Ovis aries: one gene and its partner. The main gene of each other region encodes a partner of the protein of the gene in region 2 in a complex. Links are inferred from orthologs where the notes say so. Each region holds a gene or a part of one and is shown on either strand. Other genes may lie near its edges. The genes, in order: EDA and EDAR.

What was found.
Region 1: the proteins of EDAR (region 2) and EDA are in contact, whole or in part, in a crystal structure (PDB 7X9G), measured with the Homo sapiens proteins. The link is inferred for Ovis aries from reciprocal best matches to the Homo sapiens genes EDAR and EDA. Residues at the interface, in NP_071731.1 of Homo sapiens: Glu55, Pro56, Tyr57, Leu58, Lys78, Ile86, Arg88, Arg89, His90, Asp92, Glu94, Gly95, Phe97, Val134; in NP_001390.1 of Homo sapiens: Gln256, Ser258, Ala259, Gln261, Asp265, Asp273, Arg289, Tyr310, Tyr311, Lys340, Thr341, Tyr343, Ser370.

What each region holds. Positions count from the first base shown.
Region 1 is NC_056080.1:62,926,732-62,930,544, reverse strand, and holds part of EDA (ectodysplasin-A), read right to left. Parts: intron 2,458-3,813; coding exon 2,278-2,457; intron 410-2,277; coding exon 375-409; intron 1-374. UniProt on the Homo sapiens protein: Cytokine which is involved in epithelial-mesenchymal signaling during morphogenesis of ectodermal organs. Functions as a ligand activating the DEATH-domain containing receptors EDAR and EDA2R. May also play a role in cell adhesion.
Region 2 is NC_056056.1:62,138,925-62,142,158, forward strand, and holds part of EDAR (tumor necrosis factor receptor superfamily member EDAR), read right to left. Parts: intron 2,396-3,234; coding exon 2,309-2,395; intron 1,058-2,308; coding exon 929-1,057; intron 849-928; coding exon 774-848; intron 663-773; coding exon 590-662; intron 1-589. UniProt on the Homo sapiens protein: Receptor for EDA isoform A1, but not for EDA isoform A2. Mediates the activation of NF-kappa-B and JNK. May promote caspase-independent cell death.

The DNA of each region.
Region 1 (3,813 bases), on a different chromosome or scaffold from region 2:
TCAAGAACATATTCTTAAACTTCTAAGCTGCTGACATCAGGTGGTTGGAATGCCGACAAGGTGTCTGGTGTAGTTGGGGAGGCCCAGGACCAGGTGAATAGACCTCACTGCCAGCTCATGTCAGCTGACTATTGGGCTTGGCTGTGGTGACCCTCTGTCTCCTAGGGAATGGGGAAAAATAGCCACAGCTCAGTTCTCTTGCTAAAAGCAGGCCCTAGGGCAAAGTTTTTCTATTCATGGGAGGGGGCTGTGAATGAAAAGCCCCCAGAACCTCCAGGGTCTCCTCACAAAAGAAAGCCTCAGCAAACTTAGCAGGGAGCAAACTCAAGGGTGGCCTTCCCTTCTTCCCAGCAAGACAGCAATTCCCAGCCAACCTGGTTTTCTCGAGTTCCAGCTTTATCAGCAGCACCTGCAAAATAGGACAGGCCAGTCAGAGGGCATGCTCTGTCTACTTGCTTCTCTTCATCTAGGCAGCCAATGGCACTGAGCTTTTGCTCCCTGTCTGAGCCAAGCCAGGCTCAGTCTGAGCCTTTTGCCAAGCATCAACTGAGCCTTATTTTCCACAACTCAGAGCTGGAGGGAGTCAGGGTGCGGGGCTCTGGAGTGGGAGATGACACCCCTTTCTTCTCTGACTTGTCCCTGACCTGCATCTTCAATGCGCCCAGCACCCAGCAGGAAACTGGCCCCTCGTCAACAATGGCCCAAGGCAAGTGCCACTGAGCACCCGTGGTGACAGAGGAGAGTGCATTCCTGCCACCGTGGGACCCCAAGACAATGGTACTTGCTTCTTTAGCCTTTTGTTCTCTTTCTATTAATTTTCTCTGTAGAATGCATTGCCATTTGTACACATCTTGCTTCTTTAATTGTCATTCTCCTGTACGACATAAATTCCACCAGTCAATATATCTCTTGCACATAGAAAGTATGCAATGAATATTTGTAGAAAGATGGGATGAAAAAAAATTCCAAACTGCATTTCTTGGGGCCACAATGACACTGATTAGCTCTGTTTGAACTACCAGTCAAAGAATATGAGTCTTGTGGCAGTATTCTTGGACCCAGAGAAATCAGCTGTGAAGAGTCCATTTCTGTAAAAGCCCCAAGATGAGGGGAGCAGGAGAAGGAAACAGCAGCTGACCTAAGCCCCGGCAGTCTGACCCCTGTCAACTCTGACTAGGCAGGTTTGGATCTGCATCTGTGCCTTTGGGATGGCCTTCTGGGCCCAAGGGGAAAGATGCAAAGAGGTTAAATGCTATTCAAATGGGCAACGTGGTAGGGGAAGGATGTAGCACAGTAAGCACTTGATTCCTCAACAGACTGGTCTTGGTGCCTGTGTCTGCTTCTTCCACAGCCTGAGTGACTCATAAGTTTCCAACTCCTTGATTATCAGTGACTACTGGTCTAGCTCTATGGGAAAGGCACTTCAGAGTTCAGGGGATGAGACTACTCTAGGGCTTGTCATTCTGTCCAGCCCCGAACTTTCCTCTCCATGTTGTTGTTATTGTTTAGTCACTAAGTCGTGTCTGACTCTTTGTGACCCCATGGACTGTAGCCCACTGGGCTCCTCTGTCCATGGGATTTCCCAGGCAAGAATACTGGAGTGGGTTACCATTTCCATCTCTAGGGGATCTTCCTGGGCCAGAGATCGAACCTGCATCTCCTGCATTGGCAGATGAGTTCTTTACCTGGGAGCCACTAGGGAAGCCCATTCCTACCCTTTGCCTTTTTCTAATCAAACATCAGTATGTGAGGCTAGATGCTGGAAATCGGGAGACAAAATCCACAGGTCAAGAACAGGTATCTCTTCCTTGACAGGTTGGTATAAATATGAAGTTAGAGCAAGGCAGGCCCTACTGACTTGTTCAATTCCTAGCTCTCCACTGAGCTAGGAGACCACACACCATCAGTCGTGTCTGACTTTTTGCGACCCTAAGGACTGTAGCCCACCAGGCTCCTCTATCCATGGGATTCTCCAGGCAAGAATACTGGAGTGGGTTGCCATGCCCTCTTCCAGGGAATCTTCCTGACCCAGGAATCAAACCAGTGTCTCTTACATCTGCATTGGCAGGCAGATTCTTTACCACTAGCACCTCCTGGGAAGCCCCATAAATAAGAAGTTAGAGCAGGGCAGGTTCTACTGGCTTGTCCAATTCCTAGCTCTCCACTGAGCAAGGAGACCACATACTGTTATTTTAAACTGCTCTTGGGATCACCTGCTCCTGTTCTATTAGAGAACTTTTAAGGAACCTAGGATGGTGGAGAGATGGAGGAACTCACCAGAAGGTCCTTGGAGGCCAGGGGGTCCTTGAGGACCAGGAGGACCTGGAGGGCCGGGTGGTCCCATAACAGTTGTTCCTGGAATCCCAGGAATCCCTGGAATCCCTGGGGGTCCTTGGGGTCCTGGAGGTCCTGGAGGTCCTGGGGGGCCATTGGGTCCAGGAGGTCCTGCCTTCTTTCCTGAAAGATGAGATTCGGTATCACATTTATAATTACTGACTGAGTGTACTGTCGGGAGTTCCACAGCTTTCTCATGACACAAAGTTGGCCCTCCGGGAGTTCCTGCTCTTAAAGAGGTGTATACTGTTATCACACATCACACACACACACTTTGTTTCATGAATCAGCATTTACAGGCTGGGTTTGAAGAAATAATGACCCTCAAGGAATTTGGTCTTGTGTGGAAACAGACACAGTCACAGGACAGTAGAAATGTTGCATTAATTGTAGGGACAAAATGCTGGAGAGGTCAGGAAGCTTAAAAAAGGAGGTTACCGTTTGGCCAAGTCCAAAGGATCAGAATCACCAAGTGGGTAGACCTTAAAAAGTGGGCCACTTTTTACAATTGAGAACTGGGCTACTGTTGCAGAGCGTGGCTCTCATGTTTACTATCCAGGTTGGTGGGCTTGATGTGGATGAGGCTAGCAAGCTCGGAGGCCAGCTTGACCTTAGGATGACTATCAGCTCCAGGAAGGCTTCCTCTAGGAGTCAGGATGTACAGGGACTTGAGCTAGGATGAGGCTGGAAAGTAGAATTGGAAGGAGTCTGGGAAGATGAGAGGTGGTTGGGGGAGGGAGGAGAGAAAGAGCGAGAGAGAAGGCTCAAGTAACATAAGGAAAGAAGGGGTAGTGGAGACCAGAGGGAGCTGAGCTGTGGAGGAAGCAGCAGGCAGGTTTTGCTTTCTCAGCTCACCTCTCTAAACTCTACTTTTAAAGAGCTCTGGGAAAGGAAATTCTGCAGAATCCCTTGGTAACATGTTCCAATGTTTATCACCCCCTCACTGTTAGGAAGCTCTTCTGTATATTGAACTGAAATTCCTCCTGTGGAAGTTTAAGCTCTTATACTATTGTTTGTATAGGTAGAAAAGAATAGTTGCCATCATACAGACAATAACCCTAATGTGCTCAAGGACATTAAGTCACCTATCAACTTCTATTTTTATAGGCTAAATAATCTAGCTTCCCAGAGTCTTCTTTCCTCAGAGGCCCTATTCTTGAATGTATTTATTAATCAAGCCACCAGATCCTCCCCATTTCCTCCTTGCTCTCTTTTCAGAGCAGTCTCAGCCTTCTATTCCACATTCCAGTCCTTCCCATATTCCCACCAGAACTATGTTAACCAGGTTCTAACTGTGGCCTTGAACTGAAAGCTCCAGTCCTTCCTGTTTACCTCCTCTCCTCTGTGCAGTCCAATTCAAGAACTGCAGGTGGTCACAGGAGGGCGGCTGCTTCCTCACTTCCCTGTCTTTTCACAGTCTTGTGGAAGTCCCAGGAATGGGAGCCTTTCCCCAGCCTCCATCGTGGTGTCTTCACTTGT
Region 2 (3,234 bases):
CCCGGGGTGGGGACCGTGGGCGCCGAGACCTGTCCCTGCTTTCCCTAGAGGCTCAGGCACAGACTGCGAGGTGGAGAGACGCCGCTCTGCGGGCCCAAGTCTGCACCAAGCAGATGGGCTCCCAGCAGCACCAGGTCTGGCAGACGCCCAGGGTGAGGGGGAGCCTCTTTGAGGAGGAGAGGGGCTCGGGATACCCCACAGGAGGTGGGCTCCAGTCACACCCTGTCCCTCGCCCAGGGCCATGGCCCTAGTCATGCCCCCAGAATCATCCCACACAGATGGAAAACAACCTTATAGGCATTCTGCTTGCATCCTGTGGTTTGGCTGAAGACTTATTTAAGAACAAAGGACCGTATGTGCTGGTGACTGGGTGACAGAGACCAAGCCCCACCCTGTGCCCGCTGGAGATCGAGACATGGAGCCAACAGCCAGCGGTTCCCGGCCCCAGGGGAGAGCAGGCAGGGGCGCAGGCACTGAGGACCCTGGGCCACCGCCCCACCCTGTGGCCCCCACAGGCCCAGCTGCTCTTCCTGCTCGCACCCCAAAGACCCCCCGCCCCCAGTTAAGCCGGGCTGCCTCCCTGACTCACCTCTTAGCCGATTTGGCTGGAGCCGCTGTCAGCTTCTCGAATTCGTCCTTCTCGGAGAAGATCACCACGTTGTCTGTGGGGGTGGGGGTGGGAGGGGGCATCAGGGGCCGGCCTCCTTAGGGGCTGGGGGGGCCGTGCTCCAGCCCCCCACCTCCTACTGTGGGCTTCAGAGGCTGCTGCCTACCTTGGGCCTCTTTCTTCTCCTCTTCCTCGCTCACGGGGGCTTCTGGGCTCTTCACGGGGGTGCTGGGGCAGCAGGCTGAGGGGACAGGGGGCATGAGTGGCCAGCCGGCATCAGGGAGAGGGGGCTGGTGAGGGGTGTGGGGGGCGGAGCGGTACCGGGGGCAGACGGCCTGGCCTTCAGGATGTAGAACATGATGATGAGGACGATGGCGACGGCCAAGGTGAAGATGGTGGACATGGCAATGACCAGGGCGGTGGCCAGGTGTCCTTGGCCTGAGAGCTCTGCTGCAGTCGGGAGAGAAGGCCAGGACTCAGGGATCAGGCCCCTGCCCTGCAAGGCTGTGGCACGGTGAGCAGCGGCCCTGCCACCAAGCCCTCCAGCAGACCACTGGAATTTCAAACGCTGGCTTCACCCGAGCACTGAGCCCTATACACCTGCTCTGGCCATCACATCGGGACCACCAGTCCGGCCCCATGCTGGTCAGCAGCGGCAGACCCCGCGGTTGCTCCCGGGGTGTCTGCCATCAGTTCTGTTTCTTTGGGGACCCAGCAAGTGGACTGGAGGGAGGGAGCCCATGAGCTAAACTGTCCTGAAGACAGTTTAGCCCAAGACTTTTCCCCACAAAGGCTGGGTAGAAGCATCGCCTCCAAGGGCAGGCTCTTGGGCTGGTCCCAACACCTCATGCAGCCTTGGGCTCTGTGCGGCCAGGGCCCACCAGCTGAGGCAGCACAGGGCCCACCCCTTGCTTCCCCTGCTCAGCGCCCTGCCCACATCTCCCCAGGAAGGGAGACCTGTCCTGATTCTCTGAGAGAACCGAGCAGGATCCAGCCCCCTACCTGGATGGAAGGGACCCCGTCCAGGTGTCTGGACCTCAAGGAAGTCTCCCCGCTTCGAGTGGGCAGTGGGCACGCATCCCCCCTACCCAGGTGGGGTGTGTCTGGAAGCAGGTCTGAGTGGGCCTGGTGCCCGTCTGTGGGGTGCCACCTCTGTCCTGGAGGAAGTGAGTCTAGGACCTCAGTGGAGGCCCTGCCCTGATGCTCCCCATGGGTGCGGGCAGGGGTCCAGCTGGCAGGCTGTGCCCTGGGACTCTGAAGGTGCCTGAGCCTGAGATCTCGGCCCGAAGGTGCTTTCAAGCCAGGCAGAGTGGGAGCACTGTGAGGGAGGGCCCAGCACCCAGTTTTGCTCCAAGAGAAAGTGAGGCCAGGGCCCTGCAGCCCCACCCCTGAGGACTTAGGGGTGAGTAAAATGTGAGGTCAGCAGGTTTACTTAAAGCCACCAAGGCTCATCTGAGTCAGGCCCAAAGCCCAGGGGGCTGACCTCCCTCCGGCCCCTACCTCATGTGCCCGGATCACCAATGTGCCCCCCATGACCCCAACATCCGTGGAGGGACTGGTTCCCTCTTACAGAGAAATCACTAACTCCCAGTGTGGTTGTCACGTGAGGGAAGTGAGGGAGGTGGGAGGTCCTGTCCTGCTAGTTGCCTGTCTCCCCTTATCCTCATCTCCCGCTGGGGCTGGCACCTGTGCCCCCCTTACCTTTGTGAGCGAGCTGCGGTGGGGACAGGGTGCTGCTGCCAGGTGTGCGGGGGAAGTTGGCAGAAACTCCCGAGGCGGCTCCCACACCTGCAGGGACAGCAGTGACCGATCGTGGGTCCCTCAAGAGACCCCCATTGCCCCAGCCTTGGAGATGGAGCACAGCCTGCAGGGGGAGCCCGGCCCCAGGGGTCCAGAGTCCTCGTGAGGAAGATCCTCATGAGGAAAGGGCTGGGCCGGCGGTACCTTCATCCCCGAGAGCCTCTGACCTCACCAGGCCCTTGCTCCTTACACTGGACACGCGGAGTCACACCTGCTCCATCCAAGATTCAGACTTGGTCCCCATGAGCAGGTGAGGGGCAGGTGTGCATGTGAGTTTGGGGGAACACCAGAGTGGTTCCTTCCATTAATTAAACAGGGATGGACTGTTAATACTTTTAATACACACTCATGACTGAGCGACTGAACTGAACTGAACATGATCAAACATTGAGAAAACATCAGAACATGAGAGAAGCAAAAGGTTCACCCACAGTCTTGAGGTCTAGAGTTGACATTTTGATGGATTTTTCTCCAGGATTTTCCTTTGACAAGTTTCCAAAATAGCTGTGACCAAATGGTGTTAGAACAGAAATGAGGTTTTAACCTTCCCTTAACTGTGATTCATAAACTCCGCTCCAACGTAAGAGGCATCTCCCAGCAAGGGTGATTCGGAATCTGGTTCTGTGGTCAGCTGAGCCACAGGCAGGCTGTCCTATCAAGTTGCCCGATGGTGGGCCTTTCTTAGGCAGGACTTGAGGTTTGGGGTTAGTAGGGAGGATCTCGTTTTGTTTACCATCCATGGGGTTGTGAAGAGTCCGGCATGACCGAAGCAACCTGGCACATGAGGTCTTGTTCTCATGTTTCCTCCTGTCTTGCTTTTCTCTCTG